Nothobranchius furzeri: one gene and its partners. The protein of the gene in region 1 interacts with the protein of each later gene in a pairwise test. Links are inferred from orthologs where the notes say so. Each region holds a gene or a part of one and is shown in the gene's direction. Other genes may lie near its edges. The genes, in order: heterogeneous nuclear ribonucleoprotein Q-like, nupr1b, heterogeneous nuclear ribonucleoprotein D0 and prmt1.

What was found.
Region 2: the proteins of heterogeneous nuclear ribonucleoprotein Q-like (region 1) and nupr1b interact in a two-hybrid assay, tested with the Homo sapiens proteins (2 studies listed by BioGRID and IntAct). The link is inferred for Nothobranchius furzeri from reciprocal best matches to the Homo sapiens genes SYNCRIP and NUPR1.
Region 3: the proteins of heterogeneous nuclear ribonucleoprotein Q-like (region 1) and heterogeneous nuclear ribonucleoprotein D0 interact in binary tests that used the Homo sapiens proteins (3 or more experiments, as listed by UniProt). The link is inferred for Nothobranchius furzeri from reciprocal best matches to the Homo sapiens genes SYNCRIP and HNRNPD.
Region 4: the proteins of heterogeneous nuclear ribonucleoprotein Q-like (region 1) and prmt1 interact in binary tests that used the Homo sapiens proteins (3 or more experiments, as listed by UniProt). The link is inferred for Nothobranchius furzeri from reciprocal best matches to the Homo sapiens genes SYNCRIP and PRMT1.

The regions. Positions count from the first base shown.
Region 1 is NC_091742.1:17,031,401-17,036,839, reverse strand, and holds the start of heterogeneous nuclear ribonucleoprotein Q-like, read left to right. Parts: upstream 1-2,091; 5' UTR 2,092-2,231; exon of another isoform or gene 2,232-2,244; intron 2,245-5,142; coding exon 5,143-5,296; intron 5,297-5,413; coding exon 5,414-5,439. UniProt on the Homo sapiens protein: Heterogenous nuclear ribonucleoprotein (hnRNP) implicated in mRNA processing mechanisms. Component of the CRD-mediated complex that promotes MYC mRNA stability.
Region 2 is NC_091745.1:29,321,350-29,325,614, reverse strand, and holds nupr1b (nuclear protein 1b), read left to right. Parts: upstream 1-1,791; 5' UTR 1,792-1,989; coding exon 1,990-2,089; intron 2,090-2,175; coding exon 2,176-2,303; 3' UTR 2,304-2,311; intron 2,312-2,824; 3' UTR 2,825-3,108; downstream 3,109-4,265. Other genes in the region: sgf29 (SAGA-associated factor 29), read left to right, coding at 3,981-4,046, 4,125-4,200. UniProt on the Homo sapiens protein: Transcription regulator that converts stress signals into a program of gene expression that empowers cells with resistance to the stress induced by a change in their microenvironment.
Region 3 is NC_091746.1:62,882,642-62,886,169, reverse strand, and holds part of heterogeneous nuclear ribonucleoprotein D0, read left to right. Parts: intron 1-217; coding exon 218-379; intron 380-496; coding exon 497-628; intron 629-711; coding exon 712-808; intron 809-1,770; coding exon 1,771-1,935; intron 1,936-2,021; coding exon 2,022-2,089; 3' UTR 2,090-2,104; intron 2,105-2,448; exon of another isoform or gene 2,449-2,586; intron 2,587-3,528. UniProt on the Homo sapiens protein: Binds with high affinity to RNA molecules that contain AU-rich elements (AREs) found within the 3'-UTR of many proto-oncogenes and cytokine mRNAs.
Region 4 is NC_091758.1:13,911,433-13,916,663, reverse strand, and holds the start of prmt1 (protein arginine N-methyltransferase 1), read left to right. Parts: upstream 1-1,699; 5' UTR 1,700-1,808; coding exon 1,809-1,841; intron 1,842-5,231. UniProt on the Homo sapiens protein: Arginine methyltransferase that methylates (mono and asymmetric dimethylation) the guanidino nitrogens of arginyl residues present in proteins such as ESR1, histone H2, H3 and H4, FMR1, ILF3, HNRNPA1, HNRNPD, NFATC2IP, SUPT5H, TAF15, EWS, HABP4, SERBP1, RBM15, FOXO1, CHTOP, MAP3K5/ASK1, MICU1 and NPRL2.

The DNA.
Region 1 (5,439 bases):
AGCCACGTTTCATCTTCAAAGCTCTCACTGATGGAAGAAGGTTTTGGCTCAGAATCTCACGATACATGGCCCCATTCATTATTTCCTTAACACGGATCAGTCGTCCTGTCCTCTTAGCAGAAAAACAGCCCCAAAGCATGATGTTCCCACCCCCATGCTTCACAGTAGGTATGGTGTTCTTGGGATGCAACTCAGTATTCTTCTTCCTCCAAACACGACGAGTTGAGTTTATACCAAAAAGTTCTTCTTTGGTTTCATCTGACCACATGACATTCTCCCAATCCTCTACTGTATCATCCATGTGCTCTCTGGCAAACTTCAGACGGGCCTGGACATGCACTGGCTTCAGCAGCGGAACACGTCTGGCACTGCAGGATTTGATTCTCTGCCGTTGTAGTGTGTTACTGATGGTGACCTTTGTTACTGTGGTCCCAGCTCTCTGCAGGTCATTCACCAGGTCCCCCCGTGTGGTTCTGGGATTCTTGCTCACCGTTCTCATGATCATTTTGACCCCACGGGATGAGAGCTTGCGTGGAGCCCCAGATCGAGGGAGATTATCAGTGGTCTTGTATGTCTTCCATTTTCTGATAATTGCTCCCATAGTTGATTTTTTCACACCAAGCTGCTTGCCTATTGTAGATTCACTCTTCCCAGCCTGGTGCAGGTCTACAATTCTTTTCCTGGTGTCCTTCGAAAGCTCTTTGGTCTTGGCCATAGTGGAGTTTGGAGTGTGACTGTTTGAGGCTGTGGACAGGTGTCTTATAATGAGTTCAAACAGGTGCCATTAATACAAGTAACGACTGGAGGACAGAAAAGCTTCTTAAAGAAGACGTTACAGGTCTGTGAGAGCCAGAGATTTTCCTTGTTTGAAGTGACCAATCTGAGCGGTTGAATCTGATTTGTCCTGTTCTGACAAACAAATGTCAGATCTGTATACTAGTAAGAAATGTATTATCAAACATGCTCACTTAGATTATTATTCAGTCAGAGTTACATCATATAATCCATTCGTTTCACTGAAAAAGGAGCAGGCAGAACTATGAACTTGTTTAGCCCGTCCAAGTAACATGGAAGAAAAAATACATGTATCTGTATGTAAATGTAGTTAAAATGTCTTCCCACAATAGCTCATGTAGATTCTGTCTGAGTTATACCATAAAAATCCTACAGTTCCACTAAAAGAGTATTTACCTGCAAACTAGCCTGTTAGCTCAGCTTTCTGCTGCTTCCTCTGTAGCAAGTTAGCAGTACACAGGTTAGCTCCAGTAGCTGCAAAGTCTCTGATGTTCCACAGGTTCCTGAAAAATTAGCAAACTTATTAACATAAACTGCAATAATTAATTCCATGAAACCAGTAATGAATATGTTAAGATGAATTTTTAATACGTCTCTCTGGAACAATAGACCATTGTCCTTAGGCTAGCACAATGCTTGCTTAGCAGCTAGCTAGTGAGCTAACGTCTGGTTAAAACCAACTTAAAAAGTGGCTTAATTTACAGATTAACTAAGAAAAGATCAAATATATCATCAATTGTCACTTTAGATCCTCAGTAGACACCACAGACAGCAGAAATAATGTGTTTGGGGCTCAAAATTCATGTTGTTGACCGAGGTGGGAAAAGAATGTCTTGGAGGCTACATCACTTCCGGGTCACTGAACAGTCACTCAAGAGAAACCACTGTCCTATAGGAGAGGACTTCTCAGAAGTCCCACCCACCCGAAAGGGTTGTGTCAGAATTGCAACCAAAAACTCAGGGATTGCAAAAGAGAAAGCCAGAAAGTTTAAGTGCAAATCTGGTAGTGAGAGCTAAGCTGTGTGCAGCGAGAACGAAACTAAGGAAACTGATAACAAAAACACATAGAGGCAAACAGAAAAAGGAAACATACTTTGTTACTCATTTTAAGAAGTTGATTCAGATCATAAGTTTTTCTTTTGAAACAATTTTTTTCTCTCGCAATGTCTTAATATTTGATCTTCAAAGTGTTTTTCTTGATCCTATTGGCACAAATCTAATCCCATAGCATCGCTCACCGGGCGGTGGTGAAACCGGAGGAGCCCCTGCGAAGGTCACTCAGAAGCCCCGTTTATGCTAAAATGAAGCAGCAGCGCTCGCGACGTTATACAGACGCCATTTTGTATCCCGGGTGTCAACCAAGAGATTACCCGCGCTAACGTTTCTCTTAATTTGGACTATCATCAACACGGCGGATCAGCATCGTGCACCCACAGGTAGCTTCGCGTGGTAGGTAGCAACAAACATGGTAGCCCCGAGTTTGGCTCGTGCACGCGCCTCTACAGCGTGCTGCTCGACCGGCTGTGCTAACCGGTCTTTTGAGGAAAGAATCGGACACGCGTCCATCGATGCCGTTATTGGGGTAATGCAGGGAAAGGAGAGCTTATGGCTCATAGCCAACAGTGTTTAATACATCACGGTACACGTTCTCCATTCACCGGTGTCGGCGCGGTAACTACCGAGGCCTACTACGGGGGAAGCAGTAGCTCAGGTGGTAGAGCGGATTGCCTCGTGATCGGAGGGTCATGGGTTCGATTCCAGCTCCCGCCAGGGGTATCCTGCTGTTGTGTCCTTGGGCAAGACACTTCACCCAACTTGCCTGTGTTAGTGGTGGTCAGAGGGGCCGACGGCGCCAAATGGCAGCCTCGCCTCTGTCAGACCTCCCCAGGGCGGCTGTGGCTACAAGTGTGTGAATGTGAGAGTGTGTGAAAGCGTCTTTGGGTGTCTAGAAAAGCGCTATATAAACTCAGTGCATTATTATTATTATTATTATTACTCGAGCCCCACGCGCTCTCAGGTGTGGTGAGTGTTGGTTTCAGCAGTTATGGTCCATTAGACCGGGTCGCTGCTCTGGGGCTACTTATCCATGTTTTTGTTTGTTTTAAACGACTCCGATCTGTCGCTGATGGGTTTTCAGTTTAGTAACGATCTAACCGGATCAGTGTGGTCAGACGATGTCCGCTGTCCAGCTCGATGGCGCCAAATACCGGCGGCTGTTGTCTGAAGTCACCCGGAAACAGATCAGTTAGCTGTGTTTAAACCAGTCTAGGATCACAACAGGTGTTATCGGTAGATTTACCCACTAACACAACAGTTAGGCCAGGGCAATCTAACGCTGGTCTTCCCGGGCCACCGTGTAGCATGTTTTGGTTGTTTTCCTGCTCCAACACACCTGGTTCAGTTCGCTTCCCTAAGAAACCAATTACTGGAGCAGACACACCAGAACGGTGGCCCTGGAGGACAAGGGTTAGACCATTGGACCAGGGTTATCAACTTTAAAGAGCAAGTCACCCCCAAATCTACTTCTTTTGCTGATACATTATATAAACTAGTGTCTAATCGGGCTGTAGACGCATGCAGTCAATAATTTGGGCCTTTAGTGTATCATACTTCAAATGTAAATAATATTCCTAAAACTCAGTGTCGCACCGTGTTCAGGTAAACACCCTGCACTGCAGCTGAATTTAAATCTGACATTGCTATTGGCTAAGAGGTACACCATGACGTTAGCTGGTACATTATGTCACAATGTTGTTGTGAACCTGTGTTCGTGTGTGTGTGCGTGCGCTAGGCAACAGCATTTGTTGCATTTTTCAAACAGGAAGTGGGAGTGGAGTAAGACTGATAAGATGTGACTGGATAAGAAAAGATTCATAATCAAACTAGTAAGTCAAGAGCATTGAGGGGGTTTATTCTGTCGTAAAAACTTTGTGTTCAGAGTTAGGGATGCATGTTCATACGATACGTATCGCGATACAGAGTAGAAAATATCGCGATACTAAAAGCTGAGGAATATTTCCGAGACTGAATTTAAATGAAAGAAGCATCATGGTAAACAGTCCAAACTGTTACATGTGCTGGTGCAACCAACGCAAAGGGATCTACATTTCATCACAGGAAATAAAAATTTGCCCTTTAACTGGGCGGTGTTTTAACTGGTAGAGTTGAGTTTCAGCTCAAACTGTACGACTTCCTTGCAGAGCAAGTCTCACGAGTTACGTGCTCACACTGTATGTCTGGTAGCGACATGTTGGGCCCACAAATATGCTAAAATCAGCTGTTTTTACACAACACGTCAGACTTATCGTATTATTAGGGATGCACGTAGTTAACTGCTTAATTGCCTTTAATGTTGTGACCAGGTAAACTAGTTTTTTCCAGTTAACTGTTTCAAGTCCTTCTGCTGTGCTTGGTGCAATATATTTTGTGCCACTAGAGGACGCAAGAGTGCCACTGTCAAATGGTTTACTGGGCGACCGCAGAAGAAGAAATGAGCTCATCACAAGACCTAACAAATGTGCTGAAACACAAGCGGTTATTAGAGTTAGCGGTTATTGTTTGTTCTTTCGTTATTTCATTCTTGGAGCACAAAAAGCCTCACATCAGAGCGCCGAGCCGAGACCAGCAGCAGGTCCGTCGGCCGTGACGCTCCTTATGCCTGATGCCTTATTTGTCCAGTACAATAAAGAAATTAAGTTTTCTTGCATTCAACTAAATAATTACACTAGGTGTTAAAACCGCGGCCAGACTGCACTTATCAGCACGTGATCACAAGCAGCGCTGCGTATCTGAGATCAGATGGTCCGCTGAGTCTGACGGACAATCCAGCTGTCATCCCACTCTCTTTACTTTTGTTCATAAACATAACGAGTGTGGGACTTAAGTCGTGAGTCATTGTATTAAAGAGTAGATGGAGAAAGTGTTATTCATAGAGCGAGGCAAATGTTTGGGGGGGGCTATTGACCGCTACGGAGCGTCGCTAGCCGGTTAAAGAAAGTTTGGTAAGCATACATCCCCAGTTGTTATTGTCCGTTGGGATCGCTGGAGGTTGGAGGAGGAAGACGATGAAAGTGAATCAACATCTTATCAGTTTAATCTGACAAACACGCCGTCTTGACAGTCCTTGTTATTGTGTGCAATAGTGTACAAATAAAAATGAGCAAATAGGGAAACAGCTGGTGAGCTGCGCTGATGCATGTGTGCACATGCGCCGTGAGCACTTCTAGTTAAAGATCTAACGGTTTAAAACTGGCTACAGAACAATTTGTACATGTTTACTCAGCGTTTCTAAAAGACATAGATCTGTCTCCCATGAGCCCCGGTGGTAACTGAGCTCTGTGTCTGCAGATGTCTGGAGACATGGCCACAGACCACGTTAACGGGAACACAGAGGAGCCCACGGACACATCAGCAGTGGCCCACACGGAACATTTCCCGGCCTTGTTGGAAGCTGGTTTAGCTCAGAAGGTAGCGGAGAAGCTAGATGAGCTGTTTGCAGAAGGTACGGTCTGCAGTTACCTGACAACAGTGTTTCCTACCTGTATGGTGGTGTTGGTTGGTGTGAGAGCAGAACATCATTAAGTGCATCTAATAATAGTTACTGCATTTCCTGCCACAGGTCTGGTGGCTCACAGTGACCTGGAT
Region 2 (4,265 bases), on another chromosome or scaffold:
CTCTGAAGAGGCTCATTTGGATTGTGCCACATAGGCCAGTGACCTTTGTCTCAGCACTGTATGCTGGAACTATCAGCGACCAACCTGGGAATCTGGTGTGATGAAAATGCTACAACTAGAGATGGTCATCTTGGTAGACAGGGGTTTCTTCATTGATGACATTGTGCCCTGCAAAGTGTACAGGCCAGCTTTCCTTTCTGGCAAACCTCAAATGTCTGCATGTAAAGTTATAGAAACAGAAGCCATAACATCTCTGAGTGCATGTGGAGCGCTCCATTCATCTGGTCCAAGAACACAAGCATTTTGATTGTTATTCCCCTCCTTGCATTTGTAAACAATCAGCTATATGCTGTGGTTTTTCTCCTTACCAACTTTTAAAATAGCCCACTAGTGAAGGCCTGGGCAAAGAAGCCTGATGTCTGAGAACCTCAACATATGTACGGCAACCATACTGTATATTTACACACTTTCATAAAGAAACTGCATATCAAGCTTTCATTCAGATGACCTTCAACAGTGCTGCACCCTGCTGAGGGACATCCGAGTAAAACCTTGAGATGGCCATTTTCTGTTCACTAACTTGCTTTAGTAAATCCTTACTTTTGTTAAATAAATCAGTTGTTGAACCCCCACTGCTCTGTTTGGTCTCCTTTCTTATTACAGCCCGCCACTTCCAGTCTGGGTTGTAACAATCTGCAGACAGATTTCTGAGTATCTCCTCCTTTGGTACACAGATCCTTACGGAGCCATGTACTGTGAACAAATAGTTTCTCCATGATATTATCCAGCAAGGTCCCGTTTTTGTCAAAACAAGGGTGAGGTAATGAAAAAATAGAAATATTTCATTAAATTAACATTTAAATTATTTATATGCATCATTAAAAAAAACATGTTTTGAAATATATAAAGTGCACCAAACTTGACTCAGTCCATTCAACAATTCTAAATGGACAATTATGTAACTCATCAATTAATTATTTGAAAGGATAATTTGTCAATTAAATACTGAAAAAAATAAACAATTCATTAATGAGGCAAGAACTTTTCTCTCTCTGTCTCTCTCTCTCTCTCTCTCTCTCTGGAAGCCCCACTCTAAGGGAGTTTGCAGTGTATTAGTGAGTCATATATTGTACAACCACAGTCATAAAGTTTTCAATCAGTAGTTTTATTTCAGTATGTATTTTTCCAGTATCACAAAAAATGTAATTTTCTATGGTTAAAACCATCTAGCTTATGTGCACTTTTTAAAACACTGCCCAGCAAACATTCGGACGTTTAATGACAGTTGAACGGTCACAACTGTAAAATACCTGAAATTAAGAAAAATTAACATGACATCTACTGCATTTTCCTTGCCCGGCCTCGAACCCGGATCCTCCGGGGCGAGAGTCACCCGCTCTCCCAACTGAGCTATGCCAGCAACTGCTTGAATAGCAGACTTTTTTGTATAGATAGGTAGAGGGTAAAGTGCGGGGTACACTAACCAATCAGAGGACAGAGAAGATCTGCCACAGGCCACGCCTCCAGAGTGCCAAAACCCTTACAGCCGAGCGAGCAGGAGTCAGAAACCGAGCGCGCAGAGAGGCTGCCGAGCGCGCACAGAGGCTGCCGCGCGCGCACGTTTTCCTCTGCCGTGTGCTCGTTGACAACGCGCGCACGCAGGTTTGTCACTTGTGCACAACCTTGTGCGCTCACAGACACAGTTTGCTCCCTCTCAGTGCACAAATGACCTCTCGCCATGTATATTTCCGCTCGCGAGTCCCGTTCACACGCGCGCTGTGGACCCAATGCGCGTGCACGGGTTGTGGCACGCTTTAAACGCCATAGAAAACCAGCAGGAGGAGTAAAGGAGAGGAGGAGGAGCTCAGTAAGTTATAAAAACCTGCAGGAGAAGAAAACACCGAGAGGAGACCGAAAACAAGGAGACCAGCCGAAGAAAAGTACCGAGTGAACGTTTCTGAGTCTTTGTGTTGAGAAGCTGAAGCAAACATGAGTCACGTCGACGTGAAAAACCTGAAACCCTCCAACAAGTTCGAGGAAGAACATTATGACGAATATGATTATTACAGTCTGACCGACAAATACGCAGGTGAGCAGCTCTTTCCTTAGCCTGGAGCTAACGGAACTCCAGACCGGTTCAGGGTGGGTAAATGTGTGTGTGTGTGTGTGTTGCAGAAGGCTCGGCCCGAAAAGGCCGAACCAAGAAGGAGGCCAGCGACAACACGAACCGACACAACCCCGCCGGACACGAGCGGAAGATCGCGGAGAAACTCCAGAACAGCGAGAAGAAAGCCAAGGAGTGATGACCAAGGTGGAACAAACACACCTGCAGAAATAAAGTCTCCGTCCAGTTTGGGTTAACGGCCCCGCCGACAGGAACGCTGTTTGTTTAGTTGGATCCAAAAGCATCGAGCATTTATAAACGTTAAATTGTTGGATTTCTCCGGGATTTGGAGCGCTTCCTGCAGAGCTGCTGCCACGACGCAAACAGAATTAACCCTTTAAACCCGAGTTTACCACCTAAAGCAGGTGAAAGCTGGAACTGTTTGGTGGCTTCACTTAACCCAACTACTGCTTAAAACGCCCCATTTCAAGAAATGTTCTCAAATATTTGCATCAAACCAAAATCCTAAAATTGAAAGTTGATAAATAGATTTAAGTTGCACACAACATGTTTGCCTAATTGTTTTAATCCATTTGGGAGGATTGATTTTGACCATCAATCTATCTGGAATGATTGTGTAAAATGATCAGTGTTGTGTGCTTGGTTCTGCTCTGCAGATGTGTTTACAATAACCAGGCTTTGGTCTTTTGTTTTTAACAGGGCGACTCGGACAGCTTTACCTGGAAACTGACCACGGCCTCGACGTGCAGATTGATGGAGCTTGTTGGAGCTCTGCTGGGATTAACCTCGGCGTGGCGAAGAGCCTGCAGATCCAGGCCTCTTCTCTGATGCCTGCAGGGGTTGTACACTGATCTCTGGTGTTGGAGTTTACCTGAGTTCAGAGTCATGGCTCAGGCCACAGAGGTGCACCTTCGGTTGTGACTTTGCAGCTGAAGGATGGTTGTTTTTACAAGGTCGTTTTATAATTAAAATGTTTCAACTAACGTCAGAGTGTTGTTGTTTTTGTTTAGCCTAGAATCTCAGTGAAAGGGGAAAAATGTAAATGAAAACAAGGGCTATCTTTTATTCTTTTGTCATTGTTTCATAAATTGTGCGATGAAAGAAAAGTTATTTTCTCATTCTTGTCCTTTTTGTGTTTTAGTTCAGTGGACTTAAAATTGTTTAGATTATTGATAAAGAACTTGGTGTCCATATAAAAAATACACTTGACAAGTCCCAAAAATTTTAAATGTACCTCAGGGGGAATTTATTCAAGCATTTGACAGAATAAATGCTCTAAAGATGTCTTGACTGAAATATTACAAGTGACAAAAAACTTGAGATAAATCTCAAACATGCAACTGCTTCAGTTAAACAGACATTTTTCATTCTTTAACCAATACGGCTCATTGTTATGGCACGTGTACGTACGTCATAGGTGCTGCTACACGTAATTAAAAAGGAGGGGGGGGGGGGGGAACGGGGCGAAAAGGGTTTCGACAGTTTTCGACCATGGTTGCAGTTCCAGACACTGACCACAGCAGAAATTGGCGCTGTTCCTGTTACAAGCGGTAAAGCGACCCCTCAAACAGCCAAGAAGGAGACATGTAGTTAGCGTCTGAAGTAAATAAACACGTAAATCTGTTCGGTGAGTACATTAATGGGTTTGATACAAGTCGAATGGGATAAATATCACTGGGATTATGTCACGAGGAAATGATGGCTCTGATTTTGTTGTTAAATTATCTTGTTTTTGTATATTGAGCCAGTCGCTAACGCAGTCGAGCAGAATGCTACCATTAATATTTAAGCAAAAGTTCTTCTTCATCGCTGCTTTTAGAAGCTGTTTGAATTTGAGAATCTTACAGGATAAAACATGTCTGCCGACACAAAGATCGCAGAGCTGCTGACGGAGCTCCACCAGCTCATCAAACAGACTCAAGTGAGTTCCGGTTCGGGTGGCAGCTGATCTGGGTCAGCACACCTGGTAAATAATCGGTTCGTCTGTTGTCTCTTTCAGGAGGAGAGGTCACGCAGTGAACACAATCTGCTCAATATCCAGAAAACACACGAGAGGATGCAGACGGAAAACAAAAGTCAGTTTAAATCGCTGTAACAGGTATTCTGTCGTGTGTGTGTGTGTGTGTGTGTGTGTGTGTGT
Region 3 (3,528 bases), on another chromosome or scaffold:
TAGGATTAAATCACAGCCTACCCAGATGATGGACCACCTTCACTGACCTGACCTGTGTGACCTTTATTATCTCCTCATATCCACGGTGTCTCTGTTGATGTTCGCAGCCCGAAAAACGAACCCTGACAGTTGTTTGATCAAAAGGCCAAACCATCCATAGAACTGTTGATTGACTCTACGTTTAACTGGTTTATTGTTGGCGTTTGTCCTCATGAAGGTTGCATCACAGAAGGAACATAAGCTCAACGGGAAGGTGATCGACCCCAAAAGAGCCAAAGCCATGAAGGCCAAGGAGCCTGTGACGAAGATCTTTGTTGGTGGTCTGTCTCCAGATACTCATGAAGACAAAGTCAGAGAGTACTTCAGTGCTTTTGGAGAGGTGTGACACATACACACACACACACGCCTCACTTTATATTCGTTAAGCTTTTGCTTGCATTTTCCTTTTTAAATAAAACCCAATATATCATGAATGCATTCACTATGATTTAATCAGGTGGAGTTGATTGAACTTCCCATGGAGAACAAAACTAACAAAAGGAGAGGCTTCTGCTTCATCACATTTCTAGAGGAGGAGCCAGTGAAGAAGATTATGGAGAAGAAGTACCACAACATCGGACTCAGCCAGGTGCAATCACTTCATCCAATCAGATTTCATTATATGACTGTACCTTAATGAAGACATAATAAATTAATAATGTTTGACTTTAGTGTGAAGTAAAGGTGGCTGTGTCAAAGGAGGTGTACCAGCAGCAGCAGTACTGGGGAGGCAGAGGAGGATACTCGTCCAGGTCCAGAGGAAGAGGAGGTGAGTTAGGATGGAAAACTAAAACATTGCTCTTGCTAGTTTAACATTTATGTCTGCCTCCACCTGCTGGGTTTCTCACTGAGCAGAGAAGATTGTTTCCTTATCAAACGCACAAGAACTGTATCAGCAGAACTGTTCAGGCTGAAACATTCTAGAAAAACTTCATTAAAGATAAAAACAATCGGTAAATAACTCCATTTCAACATTTTTTTAAACTTCATGGCGGATTTTTTTTCTAAGCTTGGTCCTGAAATGTCTGAATAAAGCTGCAACTTGTCCTCACCGTTGTGTGGACATAAAGGGCATGTTTGTTGGTGAGACTGGTTCTAGATCGTGGTTCCTACTAGGGGTTGTATCAACTAGTCGACTTAGTCGTGCTTATATGTTTGAGGGTTTTTTTGCATAGTACAGCTACGCCCTGTCGGGAGTAACTCTGGTATGCCTTTTTCCCTCCTCCAACCTATCCTCATGTAATTCCTTTTCATCTAATAAGGTAGCGCGACTCGTGTTGCGAATGACCGCAGTCACCAATTCTTGTCATGTGTCTTGCCCATGTATGTCTGATCTCTGAATTGTGTGTACTGAAACTCAATTTCGTTTCTCTGTATGTCTTGCACATGTGGTAGAAATGACAATAAATGACTTTGACTTTGACTTATTACAACCTTCTACATCAGGGGTGTCCAGACCTTTCAAGACTACGTTGAAATTTTAAAAATACGACCAAAATAGTGGGAAAAAAACGTGTTGTTTTCCATCAACAGCCTGCCTAAAACTGATCATTCTACAGATGCATTTGGGGCTGCACTAAATCCCTCCAAGGGCCTCAAATGGCCCCTGAGCTGCTAGATGTTGAGACCTTTTTAATTTAATTACAACTGAATTCAGTAGAAAACATCAGATGGTAAAATGTGGATGCTGGAAAACGTTCTGTGTGACGTGATGACTTGTTTCCACCACAGGTCCCAGTCAGAACTGGAACCAGGGTTATGGTAACTACTGGAATCAAGGCTATGGGAATTATGGGAATTATGGCAATTACGGTTACGGCAATCAAGGATATGGAGGCTATAGTGGCTATGACTACTCTGGGTACAATAATTATTATGGATACGTGGACTACAGCAGTGAGTATCTCTGGAACACACATTTTATTTGTTGTACTTCCAAGAAGGTATCGTGGTAATAAATCTAACTTTCCTGTCATTTGCAGATCAGTCTGGCGGGTACGGCAAGTCGCCGCGGCGTGGCGCTCACACCAACAGCTTCAAGCCGTATTAAAGAGCTCAGCTTCTAGTAGGTATCCAGTAACAAACTCACACAGATTAGTCCAAACTATAAGTAGCTATATTAACTTTGGTGTTTTGTAATATTTTGTTTAATTTGCTCACGTAAATTTCTTTTTCTCAGCACCTTCATGTGCTTTACAGTAGTGGTAACATAGAGGCTATGCTCTTGTGGCCATTATTTTTAACAGCCGGCCTCCTTTTGCACCTTCTCTTGTTTTTCCTTTTTAACTGTAAAGTTAACAGGTAAAGTGCTACTACAGTAAATGGATGCCAAAGTTAAGGATGTGCAGGGAAACAGAAAAGGAAGTTTATTGTCTCCTAACTCTGACATACCTTGTTTGTACCTGCCAGCGGAGCTTCCTTGCAGGCCATGAGCTGACTCCCAGATACCCTCAGGGCCCGCTCAATGCGGACCGGGTACGAGCAGCGTACGCTCTCGAATGCTGCCATTTGGTATGGTCTTACAACATCCTGTATCAGAATTTCTAAGTATGGGACACGTGCAGCTTTGTTTTTCTTTCTTTCTATTTTTAAGCCTTTTGGGTTTGGCGACTGTTATGTAATGTAAAACTTAAACATACACATGTAATTGTCATTCTTTTTACAGGCCCTTACTCCCCCACAAGTAATGATTATACATATGAAAGAAAGAAATAACTATCTGTTTTTTAAAGGATACATACAGCTTTCTCTGGACTTTCCAGTTCTAATGTTAATAATTCACTTCTAATGGTATTTTTTATTTAACTAGTAGTCCATGAGCTTTAACCTGGTTTGGACTCTACTGCGTTGGGGGATAAAGTGCTTTAATTTGTGTAATTATATTCTTCTGTTTTGTGTTACTGACAGCGATGGAAAAGACTCCTCTTTTTGTTAATTTTTCCTGCAACACATTTTTCTCTTATAACCGTTGATTTAAACAAAATCATACAGAAAAAGATTTAAAGTGTCACGTTTCCAGAAATTTGCATGTAATGCTTTCTTTAATGTGTATTTTTGATCAAAATGAAGTACCGTAAATCCTCTAATACAAGCCCGGGCCTGTATTTGACTCAAGCTCATCAAGCTCCAGGACTTTATTGGAAGGAGGGCCAGAAGTAGAGGCAGACCTCAATTTCTATTTGAGCAAAATGAACTAATGGTTCGCTGGAGTTTTTGACAATTAAAATTGCGCCCACATTTTCAAAGTTAAACACATTTCTTTTAACAACGGTAGTTTCTGCTTCAGCCCTCTCCCCCCTCCCCCTGCGCAGCGGCCGCAAACTCACTGATGCGCCTGCAGCCTCTCAGAGTTCCTGCTGCTCTAAACATTAAAATAATTATTTCATTTTCTGTTCCTCACTTCTGATTACCTTCAGTGGTGTCTGTTTGTTGCAACCAGCAGGTACAAAAACTAACTTGTTTTTATTTGACTATTTTTCTGTCCTGCCT
Region 4 (5,231 bases), on another chromosome or scaffold:
CTCCAGCTGTCACTGGGCTGCAAGTTTTCAGTCCATCATAGGGACAGGGACAAGTCTGAAACACACATTCATTCATGCTTAGGGGGTTAGGGAACTCCAATCAACTTTAATTCTTTTGGTCTGTGAGATGAAGACAGAGGACACAGAGAAACCCATGTATGCACCTAGAGAACATGCTAATTCCTCACAGGCCAAACCCTAACCCTCAAAGGCCATAGCTGTTATTTGAGCGCACAGCCATTTTCTTGCAAGGCAATAGTGCTAGCAACTGTGCCACCATGCAGACTTTCCCACGATTGATAACTGGAGTCTCTCTGAGTGAGGCAGCGTTGTTGCACAGTCTGCATCTATCTGCTCTGGTAGACCCTTCTAGTACCAGGACAGTAATAATTAGGATACCTGAGGTAGGCCAAACACAGGTGCACAAATGCAAACATTTAAGAAGTAACATACCCCACAGGGCAACATGTAAACATGTATTTGTACAAACAGTACACAAAAACAACAAACCTAAACGTATTGTGCAACACATCTACCTGTGCAATATTTTTCAGAGTGAATGATTAGGTCAAAGATTTTTGTGCATTTATTTTAGCAGTGGGTGAACTGGTGTTGCAGGATGGGGCCGATAAGTCAGAAGAATAAAACTCTCTTTTAGTCTGGTGCTTCTGGTTATTGTGCTTTTGTAGATAAAAGCTGCACAGTTTGTGTTGTGGGGGTTCAGTCCCCTGATGATGTTGTTTTTCCTCCTAAGGACAGGTGTTGTAGAAGTAGGCAGCATTTCCAGTGTAGAGTGCTGAGCCAGTGGATTATTTTTTTCTTTTTTGCTGCATCCACCATGGAGCCTGCCTGGTATTCGTTTGCTGAGCTGTTTCCACACATAGCTCGTCTCGTGTGAAGCTGTTCCATTTCCTCTCTTGATGGAGTACGGACTGGTGAGGGCAGGACTTGGCATCCTAAACTTCCTCAGCCTTCTCAGCAAATACAAATGCTGTTTAGCCTTTGGGGCCTCAGGAGAGGTCCTCAGAGAAACTGATGCATACAAATTTTAATTTGTTCTCTTAGTGATGGAGTCAAGGTCATTTGTTCATAATGCACTCCAACTTTTCCGATGTTTGGGTGCTGTTATTCCAAATGTCAATAATCCTCTGTTTAGTTGATATAAAAAAAGATACTTTAAAATAAAGATACCCGTCATCTCCAGTTGGGGGCGCTGTGGTTCTCAGGTGCTGCTGTAAAAAAGCATTGATGCTCAGTAAAAGCCTTCCAAGCTTATAAAAGTCGAGGAGTCTTCAATAAATAAAACGTCCGATTACTACTAACAGTAGGTGGCAGTAAACACCTTTTCACGTTAGGTATGCGCAGACATATTTACGGCAACGCCCCGTGGACTGGATCTGCCGTAGTGGCCATCCGCCATTTTGGATGGGTCTCCATTCGCCCCCGGTGCATTAATTTCTACTGAGGAAGGGGCTAACTCAACTAAAAAACAAATTTAATCGAGCTTTTTCACAAAATCAGGCACAATGTATGGCATAATAATAAAATATAAATATAATTAAACAAAATAAATATTAATTAAATTTAATATAAAATCCCATCAGGTAGGCTAGAAAAGTCTCTGGTAATCCCACGTGATCTGCTTTCAATAGTACGCCGGTTGTTTTAGCCATAGGCAGCACAAAGGAGGCCCATCCAATATGGCGGAAACGCTGTAAATGACGTATGTAAGTCCAGAAGAAGAAGAAGCAGCCGTCCGCCAAAGTAGAAGAACCTGACGAAGAAGAAGACACGACACAAGGCAGAAGATGGAAATGGCGGCGCCAGCAGAAAGGATGGAGGTAAGGACTTACTGGGAGAAATATAGTAACTTCACACACACGAATTTTTAGTGTTGGCTTCCACCGATGTCGGACGTGTGTTTCTTTACCACACACAGAAAAACCGATTTTTAAACGTGGTTTCATGTGTCTGCTGATGCCGCTCATTCATTAGTGTCGCAGTTAGAACAAATCAGAAAAAATACGACAAAACTCTGACACTCAGTCAGTAACGCGTGTAGGTCGTGATTTAAAAATTTCGTTACATCGTGAGTGAGCGGTAATGGCTGAAGTTAGCCGGTGTGTCCTCTGTGACCGCATGGGTCCAACGTGTTAGCTCTGAAGCTAGGTAGTCTATGATAACTGGTTCTCGGCTTTGCACAATGGGTCCAACGTGTTAGCTCTGAAGCTAGTTAGCCTCTGATGCTAACTAGTTATCGGCTTTGTACAGTGAGTCAGTCCAACATGTTACCTCTTGTGCTGGTTAGCCTCCGAAGCTACATGTTTTACTCGGGTTAGAAAACCGCTGGGCTCAGAGTCAAACAAACTTAAAATTTAAAGTGTTTAAACTTCTGTAGCGTTCATGGGAGGGAGACTTAGCCGCTAAGCTAATCTGTTCGGTCTGGAGGTGTCGGGAGCCGGGTGCACGTTGACACTCATCTCCCATCTAACAGCCCTCTGCCCAGTTTACTCCTCGCGATTATTGTACATGTTTAAAGTCAGTGAGGTGAACATTCTCGGTTTTTTTAACGTGGTCAAATTGCTTTAACACAACGCTGGTTACGTTTAACCTCAGTCAGAGTGGACAAGCATAAGAGACGGTTTAGTTTAGACGTGGTAGTAGATGCTGCTGCTGGTTCCTGATCACAGGAGCTCAGGGGACTGGTTCCTGAATCCTCACTAGGACGGAATGTATTTATTACGTCATCTTTGTCCTCAGAGACAGCGTAGCAGCAGCGGTAAAAACAGGCAGACCGGTGGGTCTGAGGTAGGGTTGTCACGGTGTGAAAATTTAAGCTCACGGTTATTGTGACCAAAATTACCACGGTTTTCGGTATTATCGCGGTATTTTTTTAACGTGCTACATTTTCACACAATTAAATAAACCCTGTATGTCAGGAAATATTCTCCACAGTTTGTCTAAATTTTGCCTAAAATGTGTTATTTTGTAATGTTTATTTGTTTACATTGTTTCCCATTAGTCTTTAAAATACAGATATTTGCTACTTATTTTTTGTCTGTTTGATGTCATCATTTAAAAATATTAGATCCGATGATACTCAGTACTCAAGTAGCCTTCTAATCAGATACTTTACCCTTACTTGAGTAACAAACCCTATATCAGGTAAATATTGTCCTCGGTTTGTGTCCTTCCAGTGAGCTTTGCAGATGTGGGAAAATGTCATCAGGCAGTAATCATTGTTAAATTCATAATTATTCTCGGAGAGAGACCAACTCTTATCTGCCCCTGGGAGCCCCGTAATGCATAGCGTCATTTCAACATGGGGTGTCTGCGATAGGGCTGCTCGATTATGGCGAAAATAATAATCACGATTATGGTGACTGAAATTGAGATCACGATTATTTAGGACGATTTTTCAATTTATGTTGATTTTATTTGTTTTTATTCAGTCATAAAATTGCTCAGGGCACAATCAGGACAAAAATAAGAAACAAGATGATCACTAAAAGAACTCCTGATTCCCAGTATAAAAAGACCAATATATTTTTATAGCTCATAGTTTATGACCCAAGGGCTATAGACCTTGGTTTAACTCATTTAAGTCTAACCAGTACAGACCCAAATACCAATATCTTGCAAATACTGACAGCAAGAATTATACAGTGGCAACAAATACATGCAAATAAATTTATGTTCACAAAATGTTGCATAACATTTATTTAGTTGTGTCAAGGTGCTGTAGGAGAGTGCACTAGCACCGTGTCCTCAGAGATTAGTTATTAATTATCAGCGTGAGGAACTTATTTCTACATTATTTATAAACTATTTATTTACAAGTCCATCAGTTAATGTAATAATTGTCCCAACCACAGCTGCACCCCCCAACCCGGTCTCACAGCAATCGGGGCAAACTGCACGTGTGTTTAGCGCGCCGCACACGCACATTTAGCCGTTTTTAGTGGCTCAGGAGTCCGCAGGTGCGGTGTGTGTGTCACTCACTCTGGTTACTCCAACAGGGAGCCGGCTCTGAGAGCTGTTTCTTTAGCGACTGACACATCACTACATCATTCCCTTTCCTAATGTCCTGAAGAACGGTCCGGGGCGCAGGCGGAGTGTTAAGCTAACCTGCAGGAAATGTCGATGACAGTTATCCAGAAAGTAGCTAAGGGTTACCAGAGATGTTTCTCAGGTGTTCGCTAGGTACTTTTAAGTTAAAAAGTCAAGAAGGGTGTCTGAAAAGCTGCTAGAAATAGCGTCAAAGTCGCTAAGTTGGCAACACTGTGAGGAGCGCTTCATTTGCAACTCGGGGCAGCGCAGGCGGGAGGAGCAAATAATCGGCTTGTTTTGTTTTTTATAATCGTTCAAAACTCAGATCGTAATCGTGATTAAAATTCGATTAATTGAGCAGCCCTAGTCTGCGACACGGTTTATATGCAGGTAGCGGCGCTGCAGCTGCTTTATATAGCGACTCGTTGCATTCTCCCTCAACCCAAATCCTTGGATCACGCATTTTAGCTAAAATGCTAACATTAGCTTGCCTTGCGTTGACTGTAGAGTTGTGGGTGATGGTCACGCCGATGTGTCATGAGATTTGAAGCGTTGCTGCCTTTCACAGACACTTTTCCTGCACGAGCTGCAAACAGGATAGCCGTCTTCTATAAACTGTCCCTCTGCATTCTTCAAATATCCAAAAAATGCCCGTACTTCCCACTTTGTCTTCTTTGAGGGATAATAAATGTCCTGAGTGCTGCCGTCTCCTCCTTTGGCCATTATTTCAGCTTTAGCTTCAAGAAAGTTTTGGTTGTAAACAACTAAGCGTGCATGTGCCGCCGGCAACTTCAGCAGATGATACGGTGGCTGGTAAGGGTCACCGCGCCTACACCGCAGCCACGGTAAACCCACCGAGATAATATAGTTTTTAAAAACAAGACGGTTATTATTATTGTCAACTTTTTTACGGGGTTTACTGCTACACCGGTTACCCTGACAACCCTAGTTGTAAGTAAATTTGATTTATATAACACTTATCACAGGCAGAATCACAATCTTCACACAGATCAAAATAAAATATAATGATCTCAAAACAGAAATAAATTAACGTCAGAAAAAATAAAGTAAAACCAATGAAAGATTACTACAAGTGTCCAGACTGTCAATCCTACATAAGGATAAAGGAAGATCATTCCAGAGCCGGGGTGCAACAGACTGGAAGGAGCATCACCTAGACT